Linked DNA regions of Schizosaccharomyces pombe. The protein of the gene in region 1 interacts with the protein of each later gene in a biochemical or structural test. Each region holds a gene or a part of one and is shown in the gene's direction. Other genes may lie near its edges.

The links.
Region 2: the proteins of pir2 (region 1) and red1 are reported together in a solved structure, tested with the Schizosaccharomyces pombe proteins (one study listed by BioGRID).

Annotation. Positions count from the first base shown.
Region 1 is NC_003423.3:1,211,912-1,227,935, forward strand, and holds pir2 (C2H2-type zinc finger domain-containing protein), read left to right. Parts: upstream 1-7,493; 5' UTR 7,494-7,597; coding exon 7,598-7,661; intron 7,662-7,713; coding exon 7,714-7,821; intron 7,822-7,875; coding exon 7,876-7,906; intron 7,907-7,977; coding exon 7,978-9,604; 3' UTR 9,605-9,679; downstream 9,680-16,024. Other genes in the region: npp1 (nucleotide pyrophosphatase), read right to left, coding at 1-441; serine/threonine protein kinase Ppk31, read right to left, coding at 912-4,010; peroxisomal targeting signal receptor Pex5, read left to right, coding at 5,108-6,904; BAR adaptor protein Hob3, read right to left, coding at 10,449-11,195, 11,238-11,285; tsp0 (tspO-like protein), read left to right, coding at 13,063-13,530, 14,058-14,084; CCAAT-binding factor complex subunit Php2, read right to left, coding at 13,999-15,003; nbl1 (borealin N terminal domain-containing protein), read left to right, coding at 15,851-15,965, 16,015-16,024.
Region 2 is NC_003424.3:5,066,169-5,082,192, reverse strand, and holds red1 (protein Red1), read left to right. Parts: upstream 1-8,294; 5' UTR 8,295-8,320; coding exon 8,321-8,465; exon of another isoform or gene 8,466-8,743; coding exon 8,744-8,804; intron 8,805-9,004; coding exon 9,005-10,731; intron 10,732-10,775; coding exon 10,776-10,981; 3' UTR 10,982-11,262; downstream 11,263-16,024. Other genes in the region: RhoGEF for Rho1 Rgf2, read right to left, coding at 1-1,088; Golgi alpha-1,6-mannosyltransferase Och1, read left to right, coding at 1,817-3,007; protein mcp3, read left to right, coding at 4,199-7,057; ASTRA-associated protein 1 Asa1, read right to left, coding at 11,391-12,497; serine protease Psp3, read right to left, coding at 12,998-14,353. UniProt on the Schizosaccharomyces pombe protein: Promotes the exosome-mediated degradation of mRNAs containing a DSR (determinant of selective removal) signal sequence from mitotic cells.

The DNA of each region.
Region 1 (16,024 bases):
CCCAGTTACAGGATCAAAAAAGTTGTTACTAACGATTCCATGGCTCTCGGGATATAAACCGGTAACAATAGTATAGTGATTAGGGAAAGTTATACTAGGAAAAGAAGGAATCAAAAAGGGAACATGGACATTACGTTCAGCCAGGCTCAGAAGATTAGGTGTGAACCCACGATATAAGTAATCAGCACGGAATCCATCCAAGGAGATTACGATGACAGTGGACTGAAAAACATTGGTCCCATTGTTGAAGGAACCTCCAACGATAGGAAAAATAATTGCTTTGAAGCAAAATAATTTCACAATTGCCAATATCAGAATTCCTAAAATGCAAATAGCGGCAATTGCTAGTCCCGATCGTTTTGCCCATTGATTCAAATAAGCCTTTCGATCATTTTTCAAAGGCAAATACTCGTTGGACCCAATATTAGCCCAACTAAACATTTCGGCGAATGTTCAAAATCAATGATATAAAGGAGTATTGTTAGGTATATCATATAATCTGTCAAATAATACTTACTTGAATAACGATGCGAAAAATATTGTTAAAATCATTTAACGCTTTCAAAGATATGCGGTAAACACTTTGTTCTAACTTACTTCAATTCGTAAACTATTCAGTCCTCTTAAATGTTCTGTCGTATAGGAAATGTCATCCTTTGAAACGTTTAGTGAAATGAGATAGCTTTTTTTCATATATGAAATTCAACTATTAATAATATTTGGATTCAAGGAGGAAACATCAACTTATGTTAGAAGCATTATTTGGCTAAAGCCTCAGAATAAAAGATTTTGTAGAACAAGTTTATTTGTCTTTTTACTGTTTCTGTATGGAAATATTAATTAACCATTTTTCAACTTATCATGATTCGTTCTGGATAGCGAACATGTTATGTCTATGGTTTTACATGATGTTAAAATAAATGGTAGCGATACTTTTTGTTAGGTCGTTTCTGAATTCGAAATTTCTCTTTATTTCTTTGTTGATTTTTGGGGAAATCGACCTCATCATACATTCGCAAAAGCGTGGCTTTGTTGTTGTAATTAAGGGCCTTTAAGTCTATTCCCTTAAACGCTTTGGTTATTAGTGAAAAAAGATCTTTTCGTTTTTGGTCTGTTAAATTTGTGGTCTCCTCCTCGGACGCAGAGAAAGCAGCTGAGTTTGAGGTTTCAGTACCACTGTCAGCTGGTGTTGCTTTTGGAGGAGGATGAAAAGCAAAAATACCATTTAGAATTAAAGTTGCTGACGTCTGACAATTATTTTTATTAATATTATCCGAACCGCTTATGTTTTTTTCAAAGTACGTCAAATCTTCAACATTTTCTGTTTGTGGAACGAACGGACCTGGCCCACTATTTAAATTATCCCATTTAATGGTTCGAAAAAAAGGATGTTTTTTGATTTCCTGGTATCCATTGCTACCCAGCCGTTTGTTACAGTCTGGATCCATGAGTTTGGTGATTAAGTCTACCGCCTCCTTTGAGCAGCTTTCTTTCACTCTTTTAGTCCAACCAATATCATTTCTCTCTATGCGAGCCCATATTGCTTTTACAGTATTTGCTTCAAATGGTCGCGTGCCAGTCAACATTTCGAATATCACACAACCCATCGCCCATATATCGCCCATCTGAGTATCAACGCCCATTAAAATTTCTGGAGCCATATAATTTGGCGTCCCTGAAATATCTTTTTTGATGAATGTCCGGTTTTCCTTTTTCTCTAACTGATTCATTAACATGTGTATTGCTGTTTCATCCATGTTATTGATATCAAAGTCAAGTAAATGCTGGACCGAGTCATTGGCATAATCACTATTTTGCTGTGGACTCTCCGCTTTCTCAAGCTCATCAATATTCCCGCGGTAATTTCGAACATATCTTACAAATTCGAATTTTTTAGGTTGAAGCTGCTCATACAAATTTCCATGTTTCTGTTCAAATGACATCCTCTTAGTAAGCTTATAAACCTCTTTTTTTTCCTCTACGTTTTCACTCAGTCCGAAGTCTGTAAGCCGAATATGTCCTGTTTCGTCAACCAACATGTTGGCAGGCTTTATGTCGTGATGGATGATTCCATCCTGATGCAAAAGCTCGATAGCATTTAGTAATTCAGCTGCGTACTGGCAAACCCATTGCTCTGGTAACGGTCCTAATTTTTGAATAAGTGTTTCACAATCTCCTCCATTAAAATAATCCATTACAAGGCATAGGTAGTCCCCAGAATCAAATGCATAATATAATTTCACTGTGTTTGGTCCATATCTTTGGATATGCATGTTACGCTTTTCAAGCAATAGTCCTTTTATTTTTTTTAAGCTATCAAGACTGGATTTTGGAATCATTTTAAGAGCAAAATACTTTCCTGAAGATCTTTTTTTAGCAAGATAAACCCTACCGTATGCCCCTCTGTTTATTTCTTTTAAAAGTATGAACTCGTCTAATGAGTGAGGAGTATTATCCCCAAATCTCCTATCATTATGGCTTGGGAACTGCATACTTTCGGTAAGAAAATGAACGATCGAGGCATAGAATTTGTTAACAAATTTCTGCCGATTTTTTAGAGGTCTCACATCCAGATCTTCAATTGATCCCTTTACCGCTTTAAAATAATCTATCCTTGTTGTTTTAAAGGTTTTAGACACAATTAAGTCTTTTTCTGTTAAGCGTTCTCCAATCTCAAAGTATTTTTTATGTCTTTTTATGGTAGATATACGTTCTGTTCGTTTCTGGATGTCATCGTAAATTGAATTATTATTTTCAACGTTCCCAAGGGCTAACAGCCTGTTGAAAAACACTGGTCTCTGTTCGGAAAGGTATTGGTTTACGCAAATTAGATTGGACAATTGAGCATTTCCAAAGTACAGACTTCCTTCGATGTTTTCCATCTCAATTGATAGCATATTCAAGGAGTACGTTTGAAGAAAATTTTTAACTTCATTAAACGTTGCTTGATACATTAAAATGTGATTACAGAGTTTTATTTTAGACGATAAATTTTTCAAAAGAAGTGAATGAACATCGTAAAAATAATCCTGGATCTTTGAGGGAACAAGAAAATCATACTCCCAATTCACCAATGATTTTTCATAAATCTCTCGCTTCATGTCTTTCGCGGCAGAATTTGAAATTGTCAAAAACGTTCGATGTTCTAAATAAGCAAAATTTTTAATGGATTTGTCCAGTTCCTTAACCAAAAAGTTCAGAGAGCTTCTCCATGATCGAATGCGAAACCTCTGTTTTCTGTTTTTCTTCCCGTTGAATACTGTTATGACCGGCAAGGAAAGAAAGGTTTCTTCAACCATATGATTACTACCCGTAGGGAGTTTGTTAACTATGTCTTCTATTTCCAGCTTCTTACAATTTATCAATTGTTGTACGGCGAAAACGCGGCGTACGAGATCATTCCAAACAAGGCAAAAATCGCTATGTACCTCAAAGTACCACTCTGGTAAATTATCTTCACACAACGAACATAATTTTCCTGAAGGAGGAGGAACGTGTATATAATTGTATTTGATTATTCCGAGCAAATGATCATGAAGAATGAAGGCACCAATCCCTAACGTGTTAAACAGGATGAAATCCATTTCGTTGATCACGGACCGTTGTGGATATAAATATTTTCCTGCCCACAAAACCCTTGTATCTTTACCATACAATGAGTCTACTAGAATGCCTCGAAAAAGCATTCTAATATACGTCTTTCCCTCAAATGGAGCTTTGGCTTGTTGAATATAATAATTAGGACTGCGTATTGGATTACATCTGAGAAAAGCAAAGACATGTGCAACTGATATGCTTTTTCTGAAAAGATTATCGGTTGCTTTCTTCATTAAGTGTTCATCATCGCTTTGAAGATACTCATAGAAACTACATTGAAATAAATCTCCTTCGTAGCCGATTAATTCAAAAAATGCAGGATTGGCATATTCCACTATTCCATTTTTTGACATTTCAATTTTCAGCAGAACTTCGTGGGAAAGTATCCTCTTCAATTGCTCTGGATTAGTCATTGTTTATCATAATTGAACACTTTAAGCTTCTTGGTATAAAAGAAATTGTATTCAAAGTTGTGTAAAATCAATGCAAATGGTTCTTACGCGATAGTTTTTCGGCAAAGACTTTTAATAGTTTGTAAGACTCGTATAATTTAAATACCTTTTTTTACTTATGAAGCGGAATTGTTGTTGTATACAATGTTTTCGTTATTATAACATCATCAATTTATTACTTGGCTTTATTAAATTCGCCAACTAATATGCTAATTCATAATGAGATCACAATTTGAACGAGCGATTTTTAGCACTTTAATTAGCGACAGGTTCTTTAACAAATATTTGTCGGATGTGAACTGTAGGTGGCATCAATTGGTATTAAGCAGAAAACAACCAAAACCATTGTTACAGCGAATATTGACTAGCGAAAATTAATTAGTTTTTTAATACATTTTATTGTGAGCGACAGAAGTATTTGGTGATTTAATTCATTTGGCGTTGTAATTTAGACAACAGGTGAATAAATAGATGTAGAGTTAATACTTCAATCCAACCCTTGGTTTAACTTTCTAATCACACTAATTTGAAAAGAACTTAGAAATAATATGGATTTTTTTCTCTGTATCATAAAGCTATGGTTTTAACATATGCAGCATGGTTTACAAAAGTATAATAAAATGTTGAAATCTAAATTCCTTAGTGGCAATAGATTAGTCTGAAAAAATAAAGAGAAAGTCTTTATTATAAATTGATATGGGTTAATGTGGTGTATTACAGAAGCGATTAATCTAACGTGCTACGCTCAGCATCTACATGAACTGAGCGCACTCATCTAAATATTTTTGTAATTGGTAATAAGCAGCAATACATGCCTGAGTTTATACGCAAGTTTTGTAACAATCATTGGTGCGATCAATTTTTGTTTTTTGGTTAGTTGCATCGTTACTTCTTCCGCTTTTTTGTTTTCATATTTTTGGTTTTTAAAACACATCGCAAATTCAATCAAGTTGCGAAATTTTTCATTCTTTGATATTAATTTTCTTACAACCTACTTAAAAAACTATTTCCTTTTGGTCGAGAGCCTTTATATTGGCTATAGTCTACTTTCTTCAAAAATGTCTGTTGAAGCAGGATGTTCAACGCTATCTAATCCTCTTAAGAAATTGACTTCCACAGCTGTTGTCAATAATTCAACACCTTCAGCTCAATATCGAAAACATTTAACCAAGTCTCAAAGTCGTACTTACGCTCCTTTGCAAACGCTGTCTGAGGATCAATTCACATCTTTCAAAAATCTCCAAGGAAACAATAGTCCTTTAGGTAATGTAGTTAAGAACCCAGTTAGCTTAAAAACTGGAAATCATACCGGCACAACTACTCGTGGAGGCTCGAAAGAAAATTGGGTACATTCTTTTTCTTCTCTTCAGCAGCAGAATAGTAAGTCGGCTTGGACATCAGAATTCTCTGAAGTATTTCTCAATTCATCTGAAAACGACCGTTTTCGAAACTTAAACCAACCTTTAAAACAATCTTTTTTTGGTTCCGCTGGACTAAATTTATCTTCAAATACTGAAATACCCTTACAAAGTTCTTTAGCTATTGACGAAACTGAGTTGGCTAAGAAATTTGAGGAAGCTTCTCAAATCTCCAATAAATTAGAGAAGGAAAAGGATGCTACTGGAAGTAAATCAATTGAGGAGCTATGGGAAGAGCATCAAAAGCAATTGAAAAACGCCGGGCTAGAGCCCGCAAGTTTAGAGGAATACCAGAAACAATGGGAAGATTTTTTAAAGTCAAACAATATTTCTGACGATCCTTACACTTCGTCTGTGAATAGCTTTGCTAATGATAATTTAGCTCATAATAAAAACATAGATCCTCAAATTTTCCAGCATAGCGATACTGATAACGTTGTTGAAAACTCTTTACAAACGGAAGATGTATATTCACAGAACCAAGATGAATCTTCAGAGGTTGTGAAAGAGCTAAACGGAATAGATCCATTTGTTGAAGCCATGAATTTAATAAAAAATGGAGGATCTATCTCGAAAGCAGCTGTGTTATTGGAACAATCTGTGAAAGAGAATCCACAGCACTTCGAGGCCTGGAAATGGTTAGGTCGCATTCATACTCTATTGGGAAACGAATCGCGGGTTGTTGAAGCCCTACTTGAAGCTGTCAAATTGGATTCAACCAATCTTGACTTAATGATGGATCTTGCTGTGTCTTATGTTAATCAGTCTCTAAATGTTCAGGCATTGGTTTGCTTAGAAGACTGGATAGTCAACAGTTTTCCCCAATACCGAAACAGGTTTGCAAAGATAAACGAAAGGTTTGAAGAGAAAGATTCTGCTAACGATCTCTTGAAAATGCAGATGTATTTCTTGGATGTAGCTTATGAGTTATCACTTGCTAAGAAGCGTTCCTCCAAGGTACAAGCTGGATTAGGAATAATTATGTATATGTTGAAGGAGTATGAGCGTTCTGCAGATTGTTTTCGGCAAGCTCTTCAAGACGAACCAAGTAACGAAATATTGTGGAATAAGCTTGGTGCTGCTTTAACAAATGCAGAAAAAAATACTGAAGCTGTTTCTTCCTATAATCGGGCAGTATCTCTACAGCCCCAGTATGTTCGAGTTCGCTCAAACATGGCTGTTTCCAACATCAATTTAGGATACTTTGAAGATGCTGCAAAACATCTACTTGCTGCAATTGATATTATACAAAACAGTTCTACCTCAATGGAGAGCTGCGAATCAAATGAGGAACTTTGGGAAATGCTTCGCAAAGTATTTTTGATTGGATTCCAAAGTACTGATCTTGCCTCTCAGTCCTATCCTGGAGCAAACACTAGTTATATACGAGCCCAGTTAAGTGATCTCCAAGGTTGGCCCGGTGTTGAGCTCGAATAAATCTCTTAAAGCAAACGTGCTTAATTCATTTTTCATGTTATTATTTATTTGGTTGTTTTTTTTTTTAAATTTTTTGTCTGAGGCATATCTTTTAGAGGACGTGCAAAAGCTACTTTTTTTTTGTTGCACAAGAAATGAGATAACTTACGCTTCAATATCTGAAGCAGAGAACAAAAGTAAAAGAAATCTTACTCTATGCTACCAAAGTTACTATTGGTATGCAAGTTGTACCTTTCTTGACCGTTTATACAATGGAAATTAGATCTTCAGTGATTTGAAAACAGATGTTATTGTTTACTTTTGTGAGAGTGCTTCTAAGCTCTTTGTAAGCACAGTTTTTTAAGTAATCCAACATTGTATTTATTGACGATAATGAGACAATGTTTAGTATTAATTGTTCAATAGCATTCGCATAAAATTCGAAGTCTCACTTTTTTGTTTAATCATTTGCTTTTATAATCTCAGTTTATTTAGATATACTGATGCGTATAATAAAGTATTTGACAATTTTCTATATTTTGAATAATGAAACTTAGTGTACCAGCATAAAGTGCTGTATGGATATTTCTCTCTCGTAAGAACATTCTTCAACTAAGCAGGTTGAGTACCAATTTTGACCCAATTGAAATCATTAGTTTTTTAATAAATTAATCCCGATTGCTGGTATTTATAGAAGGGGAACAGTGTCAAAATATGAGTGAGGTCCATCAAGAAAGTGAAGTAGAGTACAGTCGTTGGAAAAGAGAACGCTCTCCTGGTAAGTTGTTAATGTTTAGTTTGATAGAAATACTCATCCTTTTTTTGCATAGAACGGAGTCAAAGACGTTCACAGAGCCCCCCTGGTGAACAGTCTGCGTATCATCGAGAACGGTCTCCTCTACGAAAGCGTGGTAATTACTATGATGATAGAACAAGAGGTAAGAATAAATATAAAATTCTATGAATTGACCTATTAACTACAATACGTCTAGCTTCTGGACCTTACCCTACATTTACTAAACCGTAAGTTACGACTAAATAAATACTCTACTCGATGTGAGTGAAAAACCAAAGTTTTCTAACAAGGAGACTAGTTTAATTGATCCATATACTCAAACAAATGCGGTTTCTTATGAACGGTTTATTCGGTGGTATAGCAAGGAAAACCATATATCCGCAACAACTGAAGACTTATACAACTCGCTTCATGGAACTTACAACAATTATAAACAGGATCTATACGCTAGGACCGCAAGAAGTTTTGTTGAGAGCCATTGTGACGAAGCTTGGTTTGAAGACAGCTATTGGGTGGACGAGTCACAAGGAAGAGTCCTTGAAGTGTCTGAAAATGAGAAATCTTATCGCCGGGCGTTATACGATAAATTCATGGACAGATTAGACGCCGGTTATTATGATGATTTTCAGCTTCCAACCGCTGAGGATGTAATCGAAAAGCCGTCAATACCTGATAATGATACAGATGACTCAATTCTTCCTTCTAACGACCCGCAACTTTCCAAATGGAACCAAGACTCTCGAAACGATGCAATGGAAAATACACTATTGGTCAGTCATGTTTTGCCCAACATCTCGGTTGCGCAAATTCATAATGCACTCGATGGTATTTCGTTCGTACAACATTTTTCCCTTTCTACTATTAATTTAATCAAGAATGATGAACGCTCACTTTGGGTTCATTTCAAAGCAGGAACAAATATGGATGGAGCTAAAGAAGCGGTGGATGGGATTCAATTGGATTCAAATTTTACTATTGAATCTGAAAATCCAAAAATTCCTACTCACACGCATCCCATACCTATTTTTGAAATCGCTTCTTCTGAGCAGACATGTAAAAATTTGCTAGAAAAACTAATCCGTTTTATAGATCGGGCTAGTACGAAGTATAGTTTACCAAATGATGCTGCACAACGTATCGAAGATCGATTGAAAACACATGCATCTATGAAAGATGACGATGATAAGCCGACGAATTTTCATGACATTCGTTTAAGTGATCTGTACGCCGAGTATCTTCGCCAAGTGGCTACTTTTGATTTCTGGACTAGTAAAGAGTACGAAAGTTTAATTGCTTTACTGCAGGATAGTCCTGCAGGTTACTCGCGGAAAAAGTTTAATCCATCCAAAGAAGTCGGTCAAGAAGAAAATATTTGGTTGTCAGATTTGGAAAACAATTTTGCTTGCCTTCTTGAGCCTGAAAATGTGGATATTAAAGCAAAAGGGGCATTACCCGTTGAAGATTTTATTAATAACGAATTGGACTCTGTTATTATGAAAGAAGATGAACAAAAATATAGGTGTCATGTCGGAACATGCGCGAAGCTTTTCTTAGGACCTGAGTTTGTCAGAAAGCATATAAATAAAAAGCATAAGGATTGGTTGGATCACATTAAAAAGGTGGCTATATGTCTCTATGGATATGTGCTTGACCCATGTAGGGCTATGGATCCCAAAGTGGTAAGCACGTCGTATGTATCCTTACAGATTTTAAACAAGCCCTACGTTGGTTTCAGAAATATTAACGCAAACTATACATTTCCAACAACAAGCTATAGTCGACGAAATGACGAGGAGATAACTTCTGGAGCATCATCACAAAAATCTTATTCGAGGCAAGAACCCATGATCCACAGACGGGAATTCTATAGAACTTATCAAGATTTGGATGCGCCTAACCAGGAGGTTCCAGAATTAGATTACTAAATTTATGTTCTTAGTCAGAAAGATTTTTGGTTAATATCATTTCCTGTATAGACGTTACTAGCAGTTGTAGCTCCATACTATATTTTAGATTTTAAAGTAGCGATAATCTACATTCACAGCTATTGTAAAATTGAACGCTTAAGTCCATGTTCGAAAATCAAACATCGAACGCTGCACAGATAGAAATAAACCCACTTCCAACTTGACTTACAGCTTACAAGATAGCTATTGTTTGGAAAATTAATAAATTACAATTCAAATTAATAATTCGTAAGTCAACAAAAGCATTTTTTTTTCTAATTATTATATTTTAAGATTTGGTCTAAACTTACTTAACAATAGTTATTTATTAGAACAAAACTTGGTACGAGATAGAAAATAAGCACAGTTTAGTAGATGAATCGCTGGGTCGACAGACAATATTGGAAAACCAATTTGTTTATCTGATAATTTGATAACTATTCCCAATTAAAAAATTATAAAGGAAACGTTACGAAACTGAAAGGATGTAGAAGCTTCACAGTTGAGTCTTTAATAAATATGTGCTGGCTTTCCCTTCAATTCCAGTAACACCAATAGAAAATACTCGAGGATAGATAAGTATGGAAAATATTTATGTATCACAAAAAATTGAATAAATTGAAAACATTCCGTGAACCACTTCAGATAAACAAGATAAGATGGTAATAAAGTAGTAAAAGAGAAAGGATATGTTAAACAAAAAGTATTGAGGGATAAGAGATCATGGTTACGTGTAGTAACAATTATTTCGGAGGAGAAAAGGAAAGAGAAAACAGAGTGATAGCGCTATGCACACATACAATCGTGTTTAAAAAACCGATGTCTACTGACTGTTGTTCAAACCGGCGATGGAAAGATCCCGCATACTCTGTAAAACTTGTTCAACTTTATCATCCAACAAACCATTGGAATAGTCTTCGCGTACAGAGTTGTCAAAGTATTGCTGAACTTGAGCCATTTTCTCATATCCCTCCCTACAAAAGCGGAGCTGAATTTTGACAAGGGCTTCAAAGCTAGGGTCCAAATAAGGCACACGAAGAGCAATTAGTTGCGGAAGCTCACTGACCAGTTGATTATTGAGTGTCTCGTAGACCTCCTTCGCCATGGCTGCTTCTTTCTCGGTACGGGGAAGCTTAGTAGTGTCGTTGGAAGGCTTGTCGACCAGTTTTTGAACCTTAGCCCTCATAGCATCATGATCAAGTAATTTGTGATTACGCTTCGTGATAGCGGCATTAATATCGGGAAAGTAACTGCAGAACCTTGAGATGGGATCCAACACCGTTGTCCGGAAAGGACCGTCCAACTCTTTTACGGTATCGGCGTCCAAGTCTTCGACGACTTGTCGATAGTATGCACTGACACCATCCTTCGATCCAGCATCACCGTAAAATGCATCGATTGTGTTAGCGATTCTAGTTTGAGACGCAGTCATGGCTCTCAAAGCATCGAGATAACCTTTGGCTTCTTTTTGAAGCTTCTTTGCAGCTGATTCCATAGTTCTATAACGTCTTTCCTCTGTTTCAAATTCCCGATCCACCGTTCGCTCAACATGACCCGTCTTCATCATAACCTACCACAATGTTAGACAATTCTTCAACACTCAAATACATACCGAGGTACCCGCTCGGTTAACGGCCTTTTTGAATCCATGCCAACTCATTTTTGTGATATGGAAAAGAGAAGCGTCGGCATACCCAGATATCTTATGTCAGTTGATCGCTGCGCTAATGTTCGCTAGCTAAGCTGCATTGGATCTTTTAGTGGATTCAGCAGGATTCGCGTAGGGAACAATTCACGGAAGCAAAGCCATAACGTAAAGCCTGATTGCGAAGTTTATCATTGCGTTAAATAGAATAATGATAGTTTATTTCACAATGCAATTATAAAAAGATAAGGATGAAAAGCGTGTCGTTAATTTTGTGTTTAATTGATAGAGCAAGAGCATAATGGTGGTAAATTTGGGTTTCGAGGGTTGGCTTACTTTCATGTCACTATCAATAAATTACATCGCTTAAAAAATATATCTAAATTTTTCTTGTATAATCATCTGTAGTAAATCTCTGACTGCAATTAGAGGTCTATCCTCAGATAATTCTTGTTCACTAACTGCATCCAGCAGAAATCGCCTTATAAGGTAATATAGTTATGTTATAGTTTAATATAATATATCAATGTAAACATTTTAACTTGACAATATAGAGGTAATATCGTTTGCTCATAAATGGAAGATATTGTGGAGAAGCAATTTGAAATACGGACATTTTACCAACTTATAAATTTCATTAGAAGTGGTGGAATAAATGGTTTTGCATTATATGGATATAATGTTTTGAGGCTTCGACATGGAAAGACACGATTGCTACTTATCAATATATGAGATCATTCATGATAAAACTATAAAGAAAACGCTTTTCAGCGACATTTGAGCTAAAAAAACCCGGTCTCATAGTTTGCATCCTTACTCAAAAAGTGAAGAACTTAAGTTGTAGTAGTGGTGCATTACTTTGAGAGCTATTGTATAGCGATATTAGATATTGAAACAAGAACTCAGCCATTCAATGACAGTTTGTTTGTTCTGTGGGCAGTAAGACATCCAGATAATGCCCAAGAGAAAGATTCTTCTGAAAGTAAGAAACAAAAGCACCGAAATAAACCTTTCTTCTCTCTTTGTTGTCTTATCTAATTTTATAACTAAATTTGCCCATAAATCTCATCTGTGTGATGATAATTAACCGCATTTGACCAGCCCAAATATATTCTATTACAGAAAACAAGCGCTGCTACTAATAGATATACATAATTTTATAATATAATATTAATAATATAAAAAATTTAGTTGTACTGAAAATATTATCTTATGGAAAACTCCTTATAAACACTTTTTAGCGAGACACATCTACCACCACCTTACGCAGTATGAACACGTATTATACCCCAATACCTCGCTCCTCCTTCCCTTCTGTGACGTAATAGACGAGGTTATAAATATGGTGAATTATACATTCGAGTAGCTTCCAAGATCAAACTACAATTAAGTATTTCCTTTTATTTTAGTTTAGTATCGTATTTCTCTCATATCGATACTGTGCCCGTTTTTAAAATGTATGGAAGATTGAAAGATGGTTAAGCTTTATGGTCCAATTTTACTAATCTTCAATTCAATTAGAAGTTTCAACAACTCTTCTCCAAATTTCTAGTTTAATGTATGTCAGTTTTAATTATCAAACTTAACTCTAGCTACTCCATGTCTATTTGCTTAGCATGGTTTGAAAGACCTTTTGTATCTCGACATTATCTCTGCTGTTTGTAAACGAGCTGCATTAAGATTCGAAATACTTATGGTTTTTTAGTAGCAGTCGTTGTTAGTACTCTTTACATTCGTGGAATTTTTTTTTCCCGATTTCGCTAATCAACAGTAAACGATATTATTAAGTGTGATGGATTTGAACTATCAAGTATTCACTAGCATCTCCAAAAATTGGTGGTCCGCTTCTCTCGTTCCAGTCGCCTGCGGCTGGTTCATTGGGAATTCCTACAAGCCAAGAAAGGATTATGAGAACAAAAAGCAACCAAAGTTCCACCCCCCTGCATCTGCCTTTGGACCAGCATGGACACTACTATACCTAACAATGGGATATGCATCCCATTTGGCGTACAAGGCTGACCCTTTGATGATTACGAATGCCTCTCGAAATGGATCCATTTTATACATTGCACAGTTGGCCGCTAACTTTGCTTGGATGCCCTTGTTCTACGGATTAGCAAAACCAAAATTGGCTCTTGCCGATCTCGGCATTTTGACGGGACTTGTTGGTTGGCTTGCAAAGACATGGTGGCCTCTTGCACCAACGGCTTCCAAATGGTTAATTCCTTATTTAGCCTGGTTGGGATACGCTGGCTACTTGGTAAGTAATGTCACTAATTAAGGTTGATGTAGATCAAGAGAGTCAAAAGCATGACATGAGACAGTAGAATGTATTGTTGCATTTAAGAAAGAGCTTAAGCTGCACGATCAAAGTTTGAAAGAAACAGAAAAAAAAACACTAAAAAAACAATAACAGAAGAATCAGGTCGGAGAAAAAATATTATTGGAATAAGAAAAAGACAGCAGGAGGGATATGAGTTAAATAAAAAAAAAAAATTGGGCAGAACGAAAAAAGTCAAAACAAATTGATGGATAATAAATCGGTGACTAAAAAAATAATGAGTATAATATGATATGCAAAAAGGCCATGACTGAGTGATTTCGACTTGTTTCTTTCTCAAAAAATCACCAACAACATTGCAGTCCTAAATTGAACTTTGTCGGTAGGTCGACAACCTATACACAGTCTTGTGATTGTTTTGTATCTCTCTCAGCCTTAATTAGTTGACTACTTCATGGTTCCTGAAGAACCGTGTGAGGGATATGTTTGCTGACCAATTATCATAGAATCTTGGGTATTGCCTGTTAAATTAAGAGGATCGATATCGCTCGCTGGTAGTACAGGGAGACCTGTGGCTGTAGGATCATTGACATCAAGGTGATCAATCGAATCCATTGGATTGTGTGGTATAAAAGCTGCACCTGCAGACACGCTATCATCGTGATACACATCCAGACCAGGAAAAGCACTATGCTCATTTCCAGCTAGTGTAGATGAATAATCATTAGTACCTTTATGAAATGACCCTGGATGAGCAGCTGACGAAGTAGTAGTAGTAGTAGAGTTGTTGCCATTGGTAGAAGCTGTAGCAAAACTGCCTAGTTGAGAACCACTGGACATAAGATTCGATGTGTTTGAGTCGGTCTGTGGGAGCACTGTCATATCATGAGGCACTGGCCCCGAGGTGGAAGCGGTATTAGTGGGCCCACCCGACATGGCAATATTACCACTCATGTCTAGCTCGCCTCTGACATTTGGAGAAGTAATGTTGTTTCCAGAAGTATTGTTAGCAGGAGACATAGATGCTGTGGCAGAATTGATAGGAGCTGGAGACTCAGACGAGTTGGAGATAGAGCTAGGTCTTGAATCATTGCTATCCGCATATCCTTCAGACGTGTGAGTCACTTCAGAAGAAACGGTTGCAGGCACGGTGGCATCATTGGCATTTGTGGCATTAACATCGTCTCCTGTACTTCCTCCATTAGCAGCTGCCTCTGCAGCTTCCTGCGCTCTCAATTTTGATACTTTGTCAGCAGTCAAGAATCGGCCACCAGGACCACGAGGTCGTCGCATAGCATGCTTATGCCTTGATTCATGTAAATATGGTTTTTTCGTAGTCTGCACACCACGCAATCTCTCTTCTAACTTTGCGCGAGCTTCTCTACGTTTCAAAATTCGATGGTATTGCTTTGCATTCACGTAAAGCCCCTCGACCGGCTCATATGGATTCATTGGAAAATGACTATTCTTATTTCAATTGCTCTAACTATTGGGAGGATCTCAGGAATCAAAATTCTGCTCGTTACGGTATATTCGTCTCGTTGGTCGGTTGGTTGGTTTAGGTGGTTTGTAACTCCGCAGGCGCTAGCGACTACCAATGGTAAGCAGCTATTCTTTACATATCGGTAAATGTGTATAACGATTATTGTCGATCTTTCCAGGATTGCAAATAGTGAGGACGGCTTGCAGTGCATTTTGTCACAAACGAATATATAATCTTATGTACACATATGATAATGTCACTAACTGAATGGCATAACTATTTTCTTATGAATTGGGTTAAAAAAAAGCTAACAGTCGAAATATAATACAACAGAGGTTGCATTGTAGCGTATGGCACTGGAACACGTTATACCAAATATCTTTTTTAAACAGTTTTCAATGTTGTATGCGATGTAGTTGAAGAGGGAGACTTTTACCTCGTACAATATTTTTTTATTTGATATTATTAATAATTTACTTAGAAGTAAGCATCATCAATTCTTATGTACCTTTTAAAGTGATGTGTTTCAACGCTTTTATTTTGTAAACTTGCTGCTTTTTTCTAATTCTAGGTCATTATTCTTCTTTCAATTTATAAAATATCTTTTGGGTACGCTTTTTTGTGCAATCCTCTCCTTTCTAACGTTTGTTTACATATTGAGTATTAGGTAACGATGTTACTTACATATTAGTTGAAGATTTATTGTTTATACAACAACTCTTATTCCCACCACCTTTTCAGCGCACCCAGAAGTACCGTCTTTTGATCAGCTGTTAGCAAACATCTGTTTTGTTTTTTGATAATTTATAATGCTTAATGATGAACAAGCGTAAAAGAGTGGAAGAGCTTGGAGAGACGAAACATCGTCAAGTACGACAGCGAATTCTCCAAGAACACAAGAACGATATACTTGAAAATTTAGCATTTGAACGTAAGTTTTTGTACCTGGAAGTAGTAAAGTGTTAACGGGTATTTTTCAGTTTCCGATAA
Region 2 (16,024 bases), on another chromosome or scaffold:
GTTTCAGGAGCTTCAGGCTCCTTAGTAATTGCGCTTAGGGATGAGGTGATGAAAGCTAAAGAATTTACCTGTACAGACGAGGAGATGGTAGGTGTCGTAGAAGAATCAGATAAAACAGAGTCAAATGAATCAGACGTGTTCGCTCTTCTTTTTGTGTAGAGAAAGTTATTTTCGATCGACGATCCATTGGAATCCATCGAGGAGAGACCAGGAGGAGGAGAAATGATACGTCGGTACTGGTAAACTTCCTTGAGCGAGTCGCGAAGTCTATGAGAGTAAGTAACGTCATGAAACATCTTTTGCGAATCCAGGGCTCTTCCTAAAAGTAACGCCAAATTCCTGTCAGTCGTCCGAACTATATGCATCAATACATCGACAGCTTCCGATCCAAGAAAGGCATCTTTATAAAGAAGACCATCCTTCACACGGTCACCGATGTTAAGACGCTTTCGGAACTCAACGGCGACTTGAGAAAGAAAAGCCGGATGTATATAAGGGCGACGAGATGAGGTAGAATTGGAATGCGAAGGGGCGATGTTCGAAATCGCAGATGCAGACTTGGAGCCTGAGTGATGCTTAAGTAAGACGGCAGTTGATCCTTCAGGAAAAGATGGCATGGGTGCATTAACATGGACGCTATTTTTTCGAATGTTAGGATAAGAACTGCCATTAGATACATCAGAGACGGAAAACGACTGGCGAGTATGGGGTCTACCGAGCGATTGTATTTCTTTCCTACTACGTGCATGAGAAATGCCAAAATCATCTGTGGAGGAAGAACGGCGATAAAAATTATTTTTTTTATTAACTTCTAAGCCATCTCCAGGACCCGAATCTTTTCTGGATAGCGAAGAGGGAGAAAAGCTAAGGCTCGATGCAGGACGAAAATGATTGCCATCATTTTCATTAAGGGATGTGGTAGATGATAAAGCGGTAGGAGAATGTGTGATAGAGCCAGAACTCCTTCTTTGGAACAGTTTTTGGCTACTGCTAAATGATGAAAAAATACGAAATCCTTTAGCTGCTTTACCAAACGATTCATGAGACTCAGAGTTTATATTTCCATTCTGAGCTCCATTGCGAAGCATTTTCTTGTTTGTTGATTCTAATTTTACTACCCTCTCGAGGTATCGCAAGTTTTAGAAAAACGGCGCTATGCAAAGGGGCTTTTCTGATACCAATCGTCCGTACCGACACAACAACAGAAAGAGAAGAAAGATATTTTTCAAATTCAAGTAGTACCTTTTTTTTTAACGCTCCAATTACTTTCAACAATAAAAGGTTCTACAAGACAAGTCGTCTTATTTGAACATGGAAACTTCACCAAATTCCTCTTATTATACACGAGAAGCCGGAGTACGTATATTAATGCCAATTCTCCGGCTTTCCAATTATTCAAACAGCTTGGATACTCAAAAGAACGGATTTGAAGTGGATCGCTGCTTACACTTCTATATTATGGGTGGTGCTTTGGGTAACCTTTTTCTGTTATTGTGTACATACACCTAACACACACCGTTAACTACAGCCGACAATACTTGGACTGATATTACGCACGGTACCGCAATCAAGTGTGGCTGTTGCTATTATAGAGTAATATCACATTAAAGCCCTTCGATTTTCGGGTCGCTTGTGCGAAGTTAAAGTAAGAGCATCTGCGCAAACTCAGCCAGAGCGCCCACCTGTGTTTTGCTGCGATTCTATGAAAAACCGCAAAATCTGTATCCTAGCTGCATTAAGTACACATTAATGAGTCTTTGTTAACGAACTAAGTAATTAATTGATACATTGAGCATTAGCATATAACGAGTTCAGCATGTTGAGACTCCGATTGAGAAGTATTGTAATAGGAGCTGCGATAGCGGGATCCATACTGTTGTTATTCAATCATGGTAGCATAGAAGGAATGGAAGATTTGACAGAGATTTCGATGTTGGAGGATTACACTCCGGAAGCCGCTAATAAAGATTATGTTGGTCAACAGGAGGAGGAGGAACTTTTGTATGATCAACCGTCTTACATTGAAGAAGAAGAAGATCCAGATTTGGAAGCTTACTTGAGCGATTTGGAGAGGGAAGAGCTGGAACACAGCTTGGAAGAACTTGATGAAGAAAATAATTATAAACTTCATCTACGGTACTCCTTTTCACAGCTTCAAGATTTTGACGAAGAAAATGAAGCTGTACACATGATCGTTCCTAAAGATACTTATGAATTTGAGGTGCCTTATCACGCTGACATTCCCAAGTTAATATGGCAAACTTCCAAGGACCCTTTTGATAGAGAGGTTATGAAGTACACTCGGTTTTGGAGAATCAACCATCCCAGTTATTCTCATGCTGTTTTAGACGATGAGCAGTCTAAAGCATTGGTCATCAGTAGCTTTGGCGATTCATCAGTTTCCAAGATTTCACAAGCGTATGCAATGATGCCTCTGCCTGTTCTGAAGGCCGATTTCTTTCGGTATCTAGTGTTATTGGCAAAAGGTGGTATTTATAGCGACATTGATACGGCACCATTGAAGCATATAAACAATTGGATCCCTCGTGAATATCGTAAGCGTAATATTCGACTGATCGTTGGCATTGAAGCAGATCCCGACCGCCCTGATTGGAACGACTACTATGCCAGGCGTGTACAATTCTGTCAGTGGACCATAGCTGCTGCACCAGGCCATCCAATTCTTTGGGAACTTGTTCGTAGAATTACCGATGAAACTTGGAAGCTGCATGATTCAAAGAAGCTTTCGAAAAATGGCGAGTCAGTAATGGAGTGGACTGGTCCAGGTATTTGGACCGATGCCATTATGGATTATTTAAATTGGCAGTATGGCCCTTTCTCGGTTGAGAATATCACCAATTTAGAAGAACCTTATCTTGTTGGAGATGTTTTAATCCTACCCATAACTGCATTTAGTCCTGGTGTCGGTCACATGGGTAGCAAGTCTCCAAATGATCCGATGGCGTATGTTCAACATTTCTTTGCCGGTTCATGGAAAGATGATTGATCGTTTGAAATGTGGGTGGGTGGTCATTTCTTGGTATAATGTGCTTAAAGTGTTCGAACCGGGCAATTCGATAATACTAAATACACGCATTTGATCTGGTTTGGAAACTGTTACGGGTTGTGTTCGAGCAATTTTTGTAAATTATAGCTTGCGCAAACAAAAAAGTTTCTTTCGTGGTTGATTTAATCTTTCCCTCATAATTCTACATCTCTTTACGATTAATTTTGCATGTATTTTGTACGTTAGCCAATCAAGTTGGCAATATTGGTGACATTATTGAATTATATGAAGCCAATGCTTATGTCCTGATGATCAACTTTCTTTTTTTTTTTTTTTTCAGCGCTTTCATCAACGCGTTTTATAGCTCAGCACTATAATATTTTCCCTTGTAAACTGTTTTGAATTCTAAAGCTGTTTGTTTCTTTCAATAATTTTATAAAACTTTTGCGCTGATCACAATCAGTCTTTTTCAATTTTTTTCTCTTTTGTGATGGTATATTGACCCCAAAGCGTTTCTGTATACTTAGGTGAATTATCAAAGTAGTACAGAGATTATGCCTAAGATTTGAAGATGAATGATAAACCTGTTTCGGCTTTGTAATTACTTTATGTCTTTAGACTTGCATGAATGCTTCTTGGGATTAAAGGACCTCATATTTCTTCATTAAATTTTTGAGGTTTGTCTCTCTTTCTTTGCAACTACATTTTTTTTCAGAAGGTGACTTTATTTTGCTAGTAGTATTAGCGCTGTATTCTATAATATTTGTTTACTTTGGACCGACAAAGTTCATCACTTTACAGCTTCAACTATACATTATTTTTATTATAAATAAATAGACTGAAAAGTGTTTCAATAATTGAATAAACTTACTATTATCTTTTAAAGCTATGCTAACGCCCTTGCTTTGAATACCTTAGAACATTAAACACCCATATAAGAAGTTATTGTAGTGTTTATTTACCTCCATTTCCCACTGTCACAAACACGATTGTTGAGTGCATTTACAACCTGAAGGTTTAATGCTTTTCCTAATTGATGTTAAAAGTATTTCTTTTTTCCGTTATTTCTTTTCTATAAGTGCAGGATTTACATCTTCGAATTAGAAGCATCGTTGATAAATCTTACAATTGGTAGATTGCTTGCTCAAAATTATATTTTAGAAAAGCCTAACTTATTTGATTAAATACTTAATGACTAAAGAAACTCACGAAAATCATTTGCGTACGCATAACGGGATATTTCCTGTTTCTTTGCTCTCAACTCAAGCGCGTCAACTTTTGAATTTCAAGCTAAAGAGTCCTTCCTATTATCTTTTAAACAGTTTTAAACTCTTAGTTAAATCGGAAGGGAATAATCAATCAACCACTGCAGATGTAACTTTAACAAAATCACCAAATGCTTATCATGCTTCCAGCGCTAGAGAAGAGAAAGATTTACAAGTTTCTCGGCGGGATACTTGCTTTTATTGCAGTAGAAAAATTATCAAATGCATATGCAACGAAGAACACGTTGGGATTGAATCAGTTCAGCTTAAACTTATACTTCTATTGTGCCAAAATCTACCAAATGTTACTACTAATGCAAAAAAATATTTCAGTTCACTGGCTGATGGCCATAATTTCACTTTGACGCTTTATAAATTTTCTTTAGATAACCAAACATTTTCTCAATTACTTTCTCGATTTAAATCTTTTGCTACTTTGACTGAACTACTTCAAGTGCACAATGTTATGCTTCAAGTAAACTTTTCCTTTCAAGCAAGGCAACTAAACACAGAAATTCAACTACGACGATGCCATTCGTTAGAAAAAACATGGAAATTCTTATTTGGCGATTATGAATTACCTGATGTTCTAAAAGATATGGAGTCATCGAATAGTGATTGGAGTGACACATCTCTGAAACGAATTGCCTATTTATGTTCTCTTGTTGAGGAGCTCAAACTTCATTCTTCTATTATGAACGACAAGTATGTGTGCCTTGTGTCCAAGCATAACAACGCATTGGAAGACAAGTTTAACAGTGAAGCCGCGCGTCAGTTGTTGCAGAAATCTCTAAGTATAGTAGCGTCAAATTTGAAACAAGCCGAAAATAAAACTATCAGTTATGAAGAAAAGCTTTCTATAGCTCAAAATTCTATTAATGAAATTCAAACCCAAAACAGGGATTTAAAACTTGAAACCGAGAAGTTACAGGATCAAATCAAAGCGTTGCTAGAAAGAAATCAGTCATTGCAAGAAGCTCTAGAAACTGTTAAAAATGATGAAAAAAATCTGAGAGAAATGAACGCCAATTATGAAACCGAGATGAAAGAAGCGCGTCAAAAGTTAAACAACAAGGAGGCATTAATTAGTCATTATGATGATGATTTTCGAGCAAAAGAATTAAAAATTTCAAGACTTTCCGAAAGTCTTAGAGAAAAAGCAGGCTTATTGGAGTTTCAGTCTTCTGTTAGTGAACAAAGGGATCTACTTTATCAAGAACAAATACAGTCGTCAATAAAGGATATGGAGAATGTATTTCGAAAAAATGAATATCTTATGGAAGAACTTAATGAATTAAAGAACAATCTTGAAGTGGAATCAAGTAAGGTTTTGAGACTTGATGAAGAAATGAAATGCCTAAAGGATGAGCAACTCTCTCAATTTGACACGGTCTTTAGTTTGACTGATGAACGGGATGGATTACAGAAGGATTTAAAAAACACTAAGGGAAATCTTGACGATGAAATCGGGCGCTCTGCATTTTTAAAAAGCCAAATCAGGGATCAAGAGCTAACTATTGAGAAGCTCCATGACAGTTTGGAGACTTTAAGTCAAACTAACAATAGTTTACAGTGTGAGATTTCTGAAAAGAATGCAGAGTTAAATTCAGTAAACTCCAAACTTTCTGAAGGTAGAGCACACCTGGAAACCGCGAATAAGGAGAATGAGATATTGAAGCAGCAATTGGAGTTAAGTGAATCCAAATTAGCCAGTTTGTTAAACTCTTATCAATCATTTATTAATAAAAAAGAGCACCTCTATTCTTTTTTACAGCTTGTCGAGCCATCGTTCGCTAAAAGTGATTCATCTAATGCTACCGAATCCCAAATTTCCGAAAGTGTACGAAAAGGAATTTCAATATTTAATCTTTTGTTCATTGTTTACAAAAACGTATGCTCTCAAGCTGGAATTAATCCATCTACAAAGCTTGAAGATCTTGATGAACATACACTTTCTGATGAGCTGACTTATATAACAAAAAAGTTTGTACAAAAGGATCAAGAATACCAAACGAAGGAAATCGAGTTAAGGAATTATAAAATTACTCTTCAGTCGTTACTTGAAGATAAGCTTATCGGTGTAAATACTGATTGCAGATCACCTTCTTGTTCAGACTTTGAGCAACTAGGGCAAGAAAGCGAAAATAATACTTCTATCTCAGGAAGGGTTAGTAAATTAGTCAAAAGCTTTAATGATTCATCTTCTATTTCCAACAACACAAAAATCTCAATCACTAAGTCCCCATCTGGTGAGAAAGTTTCCGTATTTAAAGAGATGTCAGACATAGCTCTGCGCGATATGGATAAAAACAGAAAATTATTGGGAGAAAATGTTGACGTGAGAAATATTGTTGTCCAAAAGGATGAGTCATTGAACATTGACTTACAGAATAATGCTGTAGTACCTGAACTGCACTTCAAGGAGGGGATGGTATACGATTCATTGGAAAATGCGTATACTTATTTGGCCGAATCCAAACGCATGTTAGCAAATGAACTTCAGATGAAGCAAGAAGATCTTGAAAAAGTTATTTTAGAACTTGAAGCTTACAAGGAAATCTTCTTAGAAGAAAAACAAATTCCTTGTGAGGAGTTTATGCCAGGTAAGAACGCAAAATCCGAAAAGTCACTGCGGTCAGTTTTTCAAGAGCAGTTGATGAGAGAAACAAAGCGAGTTCGAAAATTGGAAAAAGTAAACTCTGAATTGAAATTGCATTGCTTTGAACTTTCTGAACGATTGAGGGAGCGCGAGCATACACTACAGCAAACATTTGGAGACAAATAGTATGTTCGCAAGTAGTAACAGATCAAAGGTACTAGCCTCATTGAGATTACCAATAAATAATCTATGAATACGGTCTTTCGTTTTAAATGCTTGAAGGCCGCCTGTTAGCCTCAAATGATAACTTGACCGGTCTTAAAATTTCGAGGTTTATGGGGGAATTTCAATAATAAATAATAACAAAATCTAGCATTTTTGTTAGGTGATTACATGAAAGCGTTTTGATCTTAAATCATTTCTTCAAGCTCCTGAAAGGCTAAATTTTTCATGTAACGGATTAAACAGACTAAATTCAGATTAATAACTTAAGCAACGGAAGAGTATGTTATAAAACTGCACGATTACATATTCCTCGGTCTTTAGTATTTTTGCACGATCGGCCTTGTAATCAGATACGGAACTACCTTTTCGATGAGGGTTTTTAGTAAAAAGAGCTATTACCAGTGTTACTGTCAATAGTCGGCTTTCGTGCTAAAACATCATAAACGGATACCCGAACTTTTATTGCACACGAAATTTGCATAAAGCACAATGTTTTTGTTGTTTTTAGTTTATGAACTTCAAGTTTTTAATAAAGGCCAAAGACTGTTCCAACGTTAAAACCGAACTGAGCGAAAGAATATTTCTTTTTCTCATGTGCTCATAGAAGGATATGCTAGTAGAAAACATTATCATTATTGGACAAAGGTTTAAAACACAGTTTTCTCATTTTCGCTATTTTTCTTGAACTTCTCCAGATGTTCTATGTTTCTATTTATGAGACAAGGCGGCCGCTACTAAATTACTGACTAGTCCATTAAAAGCAGATTTCCCGCTATAATTTGATAACTCAAAAATGTTATTTCACCTTCGCGTAAATTTGTGCTGTAAACTAGCAAAAGATAATTGGATGCGAAAGCTTTGAATCACCGCTACACTTTTCGTATGAGCAAGCCAATAAGGCTGAACATATTAGCTGTTCTTGTGTTACTTTTTAAAATTGTTTGAAAATATATTTGCTACATTCAGTATACCTGTTCAATAGACTAATTCCGAATGTTTTGTAAATAAAGAGTCTTAGTGCATATTTCAGACAGTTCATTAGAACAAATAAGAAAGTATTCAACCATCAATATCTTTATTAGGGAATAACATGCTCTGAGGTGAAAAAACTTTATGTGCAATAATATTTAATGTTTTTCGCGTTTCACTGTCTTAACTGGTACTACAAACAAAACATCTGCTGTTGAAATTTGGCACTACTAACCCAGTTTTAGCTGTAAATAAATGTCCCGGTCAATAAATCTCGATGAGTTGCGAAAAAAGGCTTTAGAATCAAAAAAGAAGAATGAAGAAGATGAGAGTAATGACTCTGACAAAGAAGATGGCGAAATTAGCGAAGACGATCCTGTTATAGATCAATCAAATTCAGGTAAGGTAGATTAGAGATGGAAATTTACACAAATATATTGTGAAACGAGACTTTTTGTTTTTATAGGCTTGTTCGCATTTTATTGAGTTTTCCTCGACGATTGCTTGCATTCGTTTAGAACATTTCATATCTCTATTTATATGCGTGGCTTTTTTTTTTTTAAAGAGAGAAAAATAAAGCTGGCAGAAGCCTTTTATATGTATTTGGAAATTATGTTTTGATATCCATCTTTTCAATTTTCTCACCGTTTAAATGAATTCGTTTTTTTAACAGTTTAGTTCCGCCAATGAAAGTACCAACCTTTCCTGAGCAAATTCCTCAGTTGCCTCCTTTTGATAGGTAAGCATGGCATTTGATTAAACCTGTCAGTGCAGCTTATTTATCTTTTCTACGGAGCTATTCTCCGCTAGTTATGCTGTTCTGTACGGTTTAACTCCAACTTTGGGATTACGAGAATGACAATTTGTAAAATTTCCTTTTTTTTTTTCGAACTTGAATACATTCAACCCATCAGGTGTCTTATCTAACTAACACACTAGATTTCCTGGAACTAACGCGAATTTTTTTCCATTTGGCGCACCTTTTATGCTTCCTCCAGCTTTGATGTTTGGACCAAATACAGTTCCTTTCTTTCCTCAAACCGCCTCCTCAAACAAAACCTTTTCGAAGCGCAAACGGTCATCTGAGAATTCATTCAACAACCGAAATAAGGCGAAGTCTTCTGAAACATCGGATTCTTCTAATACTTCCCAGTCATTTAAAGAAAACCGGGCTCTTAAAGATACCGCTACTAGCCGACCATTGGCTTTATCATCCGACACTTCTTATCAAAAGAGTGAAAAGGCAAAATCAGAAAAATCACCTTTTCTTTCAACATCTAAAAATTCTGATGCAAATTATTCCAAGACTACTAATCAAAAGGAAGCAGAGAAAGCTGTGAGTCAGTTGTTTGAAGTAGGAGTGCGCTTTAACGATTTTATTGCTGAGGGCATCGAGCCTTCGGTTGTTCATACTTTATTTTTAAAGCTCGGACTGGATTCCTCTTCTGCTAGCTCCCAAGGAAGTCTGACACTATCTGCAGACAAAGCTGCTAGGTCTGCTAAACTTCGTAAGATTGACAGTAATCTTAGTGACACACATATATTACCTGGCGATAATGGTACACCTACCGTCCTTCCTGAAAGAAAAAATCTTATATCTTTACCACTTTTGAAGCAGGACGATTGGCTATCTTCTTCGAAGCCTTTTGGCTCCTCGACTCCAAATGTAGTTATTGAATTTGATTCCGATGATGATGGAGATGACTTTTCGAATTCGAAGATAGAACAATCTAATTTAGAAAAGCCCCCCTCAAATAGTGAAAATGGTCTTACTATGTCTCGTTCAGATTACTTGGCGCTTCTTCGCAATAAAGAAGAGGAAATACGGCGAATGACAAAGTTGATCTTACGGCTTGAGTCTAATAAAAAACCGTATAGATCGCCAACTTCTGCCGCCGATATGAAACTTCCATCTGTCCCTGTAGCTGCGGTTGACAACAAATCTAAAACACACTTGGATACCTTTGAAAAAGTCGTTGATCTTAGTTCCAAAGCCGATTTTGTGGAGGCTGGACCTTCTATTAGCTCGTCAGGAGCCTCGTCTAGTGCTGCAACTACGAATTCTGATACAACTGAGCAGATATTAGAGGCACCTTGGCTCAGAAAGACGGAACAAATTGCTGTGGTACATGAAGAGCATCCCGCACAGATTAAAAAATCCGAGATTGACATTTTAAATAACTTAATAGAAAAAGAGGAAGGAGAACTAACAAAATATCAAACTTTGGTGAAATCAAAAACTGAGATTCTAACACAATTGTACACTAGGAAAAAACAGTTACTCGAACAACAAGGGAAAGGAAATGTTGCATGTTTACCTAAAGAATCTGATTTAAGTATGGACTCAATAACCGAGGTTTCCGCCCAAGCAGATGAGAACTCATCACAGATTTTGTCTTCCAAAACGTCAAACGCGCCAAATGGGACGACGGAAACAGATTTTGAGGATAAGGTACCGCTTGTCGATTATATCTCTCCATTTTACCGCTTTAAATCTTATCGATTTAATCAACAATTTGTTGAGCGAGTACCGTTGAAATATCGGTCGCTTACCTACAGCAATAAGATAGAGCCGATGAAAGTTTTCTGTAAATACGAAACCACTGGTGGTGTTTGTAATGATGACCATTGCGAGGCGTCGCATTTTCGCGACATTAAAATGACGGGTTATGGTATTTGTGCTGTTGATTTTTGACTAACCTTTATACAGATGATGAAATTATACAAGATTTATCAAGGTACATCGAAGGAAATGATGAAATTGAGAAAGAGTCTTATAAATCCGGTTTAGATATAGTCATGAAAAATACCGATGAGAACACCGATTTCGTCGATGTTGCTACTCGAATCGTCGAATATCATAATCTTTGGAAGTCGGAGAGAATGACAATTCCTGTTGCAAAGGTTTCCATTTAGATTGAAACTGCCAAGCAACATCAAACTAACTGTAAAAATTTTGACCGTCAAAATTACGTCCTTGTACTATAAACATCACTATACATAAACAATGGCTCTTTGCCGTTATAAAACTAATGTCACTACTTAATATAGCTCAGGTTAGAATTATGTCTTTCGTACTTTCTATGCTTGCATATGAATCGCTCATCTTATTTGAGGCGATATCAAAATACTGGAAGATTAAGCATTTACTAGTCTGATATTTAATATATTTAATATATGTAATACGTTTAAAATCATTTCAATGGTTATTGATAAAAATGCGCGTATTGTAATAAGAATGAATTGAATCCTGCAAACCAAAAGTAAATGATTTCTTGAAAATGATGATGGATTAAACGTAACTGTAATGTCCTAAACTTTTGCCCTAATACAACTTCCAGAGAGATATTCTGGTGTCTTTACTAGCTAACGCAATCACGTTGCTGCCTGGATGAAAGGCCAAACTATTAATACCATCGGAGTGATATTTCAAAACCGCTAAAGGAGCTAATGTCTGGCAGCTGTAAACACGACCTCGACCATCCCATCCTGCAGTTGCTAATATCTTGTTATCACTTCGTATACGAATATTTTGTTGTCCACAATGCTTTGTCTTTCTAAATATAGGATGAGGCAGACTACCAAGATCATCAGCTATAGATGAAGGAGTAGGATGCAGACATATACAGTCATCAGCACCCGTTGAAAATAATTTGGAACCAGCGTACTCTACCGATAAAACTGGTTGAGAATGACTTTTGTAGGCGTAAACCATCTTCCAAACAGCTTTAAAATCGAGGGTAACAGTCTTTACATTTTCTAATGAACATATGTACTGAACCACATGACCGCTTTCGTAACCGGCAGCTAATAGTACATACTTCTCGTCAGTAACGGTTACTGAGGTTGACATTACTGATCCTGTTTTACCAACAGACTCTTCTGGCTGAATTCTCGTCTGTAGTCTTTTTCCGCAATCCTCTTTGTGTGTTTGAGGATGATACAATGATTCATCATCATATACATCAAGCTCTTCAAAGTTCAATGTATTGCATAAAACTACTATTTTAGATTGAGGAGAGTAAGAGAAGGGGCAAAAGGTTAGGGAATTAACAACGATATTGGAATGAATAGATATAAATGCGCTGCTCTTCTCAGTTTCAGAAGAGGCTTCAGGACCGTAATTTTGAAGTTCAGCTAGTTTTGATAATGACATAAAATTGTCGGTCATGCAATTAAAATCGATTTTCCAAGTGACGAGACGACAGTCTCTACCGTGAGTGCATAAGGCTCCTCCCTTGACTATTTGCATGCCCAATATGGTTTTTGTATGAGCTCTCCAGGCGCATTTTGGTCGCATACTAGTAAGACACCAACAAATTACAAAACCTGCCTCATCACCAGAATATAAGTATTCATTAGCGTCAAAAAGTACACTAGTGACACTGCTAGAATGACCACGTAAAACGTAAAATGGAGTAGGAACTACCATGAAAATTTAAATTAAAGCATCCACTTTGAGCAAATATTTGTAATCATCAAGCTGAGAGGATAGGGGAACAATACAAATTGAACTGTAAAACGAATTGTTGGTGGTAAGGGAATCAATTTTAATAAGCGGTATAAGACAAAATTATAACGGTGAATCCAGAAGGCATTTTTTTTTACCAAGTGATATACCATACTTGTCAAACTACATATTTACTACTAGTACGAATGAACGATAACAATAGTGCAAAAAGTAGTAGATAAGAAAATGAAATAAAATTCTACTATACCTGACATTACAAAAAAAAATCAGTCCTAAAAGAACAAATTGGTATCGTTTTAAATGATTTCATTGCTAAACATAACAAATGTCATTACTCTGAGCTTGTTCGTCTGATGACAGTAGATATTCAACAACTTGGTTAATTGATCATTCGTATCGGAGCATCAAAAAATAAACAATCAAGGTCATCAAGCTAACATTTACATACACATAACTAGCGTTTACTCATAATTGTTGAAGGCAAGGACATTAGGTGTGTCCTCAGGAATGCCATTTAATAAGTCTTTTAGGGCAAACTTCAGCATATACTTCTTCAACTCCACAGGATGATTAGCCAGCGAAGGATCGAGAGAGATAAAATAAGCAGCCAAACCGGCGACATGAGGAGAAGCCATAGAAGTACCAGAAAGGATCATAGAAGCCCTGTTAGATCCAATCCAATCAGACAAAATTAAAGAACCAGGAGCAAAGATATCAACGCAAGATCCAATATTGCTAAAAGAAGCAATTTGATCGTTCCAAGTAGAAGCACCAACAGTCATTGCATTGGAAACTCTGGCTGGAGAGGTACCGCAAGCATCCTCTGCATCATTACCAGCAGCAACGGCAAAGAAAAGTCCACCGGCAATAGCGGCATTCACAGCCAGATCAAGAGCAGTACTTGCATCACCGCCGATGGACATATTGACGACACTTGCAATTGATTCCTTGTCTTTCTTAGATTGCTTAAAGGCAAACTCGATACCTTTAATAATATCTGATACGGTACCAGTACCATCGGCTCGCATTACCTTAACGGCAACAAGTTTGGCATTCTTAGATACACCAAAGGTTTTTCCTGCAATGGTACCAGCAACGTGAGTGCCATGACCATGATCATCCACTTCGCCTTCTCCAGTGGGAATGGTGGCACCCCAAGTGGCACGGCCTTGAAAATCTTGGTGCTCAATGTTGATACCAGTATCGATAACGTATGCAGTAACACCTTCACCGGCAGTCTCATTGTATTGGTAACGAGTCATGGTAAAAAAACCGAGTTTTTTACGATGAGATACACGAGCCAAACCCCAAGGTGCAAAAGTTTGTTCAGTCATAACATGCATAACACGGTCAGGTTCAACAAGGGCAATGTCGGGGTGCTTTTGCAACTCGGCCACCAACCAAGGAGAAAAACGACCAGCATAACCAAGAAAAGCGTCTCCAATTTCAAAGGTATGCTTCATTAAAAAGGTAGATACATCCTTAAAATCTAAGGATCGTTTCTCGTGTAAATGCTCAATCCAACGATGATGTTGCTCAAGCTTCGATTTGTCAACAGAAGGTTTAAACATGACAATGTAATTATTAGACACAGCATCCACAGCGGCTGATGCCGATTCATCTAAAGGAAATGGCATAGAAGGATCATAATTGGTGGGCTGCTGAAGCGCAAAACCATCATCAGAGGGGCCCATAAAATGTTCCTCAGTAGCACCGCTTGAAAAGGTGTCATCCAGGAAAAACCTTAAAGGGTTGAAGGCGCTGGAAGGAGCCAGGTGCGCCACTAATAAGAGACCGCTAATCCAAGAAACTCTCATGATACAAAAATTGAGAACAAGAAGAATTCTACACACACGCTCACACGAAAAAAAAAGTGAAGACTTGTACTTTAATCAAGAGTAATTCAAAAAGCAGATTGAAATAAGCAATTAGCAAACTCTTTCAGCTTCAAGCAACCGCGTAGTGTCTTTGAAAAAATGAATTCGGAAAAAAAGAAAGGAATTTAGAAACCAACAAGATTTCAAGTAATGGATACAAATATAAAGCTTTGCAAAAGAAAAAATGCAACAAAGAAAAACAAAACAATGGAAATGTCAATTGCAAATCAGTTGAAATTACTCAAAAAAAGCAAGTGTGTTGTGAAGAAGTTAAGTTGTTGTGAGCTGTTTACTTAATGTAGTACAGGATAAGGAGGCTGACGAAGTAGCCCGAGTAACATATTACGCTGCCGAAGCTATACCATTCACGATGAGTGCTGTAATGTTGATCTAATAAGAACTCCGTTTTTTGTATTTTAAAAATATATTTCAAGATATTGAGCTCATAAGCGCTTCACAAATGAAAGAAACTAGGCAGTACATTTAGAAAATGAATATTACCATAACGAGGTTAGAAGGTTGAAAACGAAATAAAGGTAGGAGGGAACAAGGGGATTCCTGTTCCAGCTCGAGGAAAGAGTTTATATATATATATACATATATATTGGTTTCATATATCATTATTAGCTTTCAAGGTGATAGACAATATTGATCAATTGATTGATATTGTCAAAGTACGATTGTACATATGCCAACAATTCTAAGATACGCTACAATTCATTACGTTGTATATCACTATACGCTTTACGTTGGAATTACCAGCTAAAATCTCTTATTGATAAAATCAAAAGACTATCGGTTTATTTAGAAAACATTGTAGATTCTATGAAAAAGATTTTAAAAGGATCTTAAATTGAACACGAGGAACGAAGTCCAATTAAAGATATCTTATAAGTTAATTTATAGCTTAAGTATATGAATACTTATAATACTTGCTACCTGCAGGAGCTACATATTACAATATAACGAAATACAAGTCAAATTCTCCACAGCCCAAAATATTGTTAACACAGATACTGTCAGCAATACCACACTTATGATACACTACGTTGCGTATCACTACATTTCCTATGTTAAGATATTACTTAAGATCCGTTTACTGATAAATGCGGATAGACTGCCCTTCTATATACATGAATAAACATTGATATCAGCTATCAAGAAGGTTACAAATAGAGCTACCACTGAATCTCGTTCCTCAGTTCAGTTATTAGCTATATCGGTGACCAATACTAATAGACTTTTTATAACAATAAACATACATTGTTAGTTAAATATTGCATACCGCTACATTGTAGATCGCAAGTAAAAACTCACCGGAATTCTAAATATCGTTAAAACAGATATCAAACTGCGTAGCTAACATTACTACGACATTAAATACTCACTATTGTAATGAGTCACTATAATCATTACGATAACAAACCATCGTTTTCAATCACAATATTTTATTATGCTGTTCATTATTTTGTAAACATTAATTTTGTTTGTATTAAAGTAAACCATTAAACAAAAGTAAAAAAAGACAATTAAGTATGATTCATTAAGGATCAAGATGAAGGAGAAATGAATGTAACAAAGACAATGAAGTTGTGAATACAACAAGGAGGA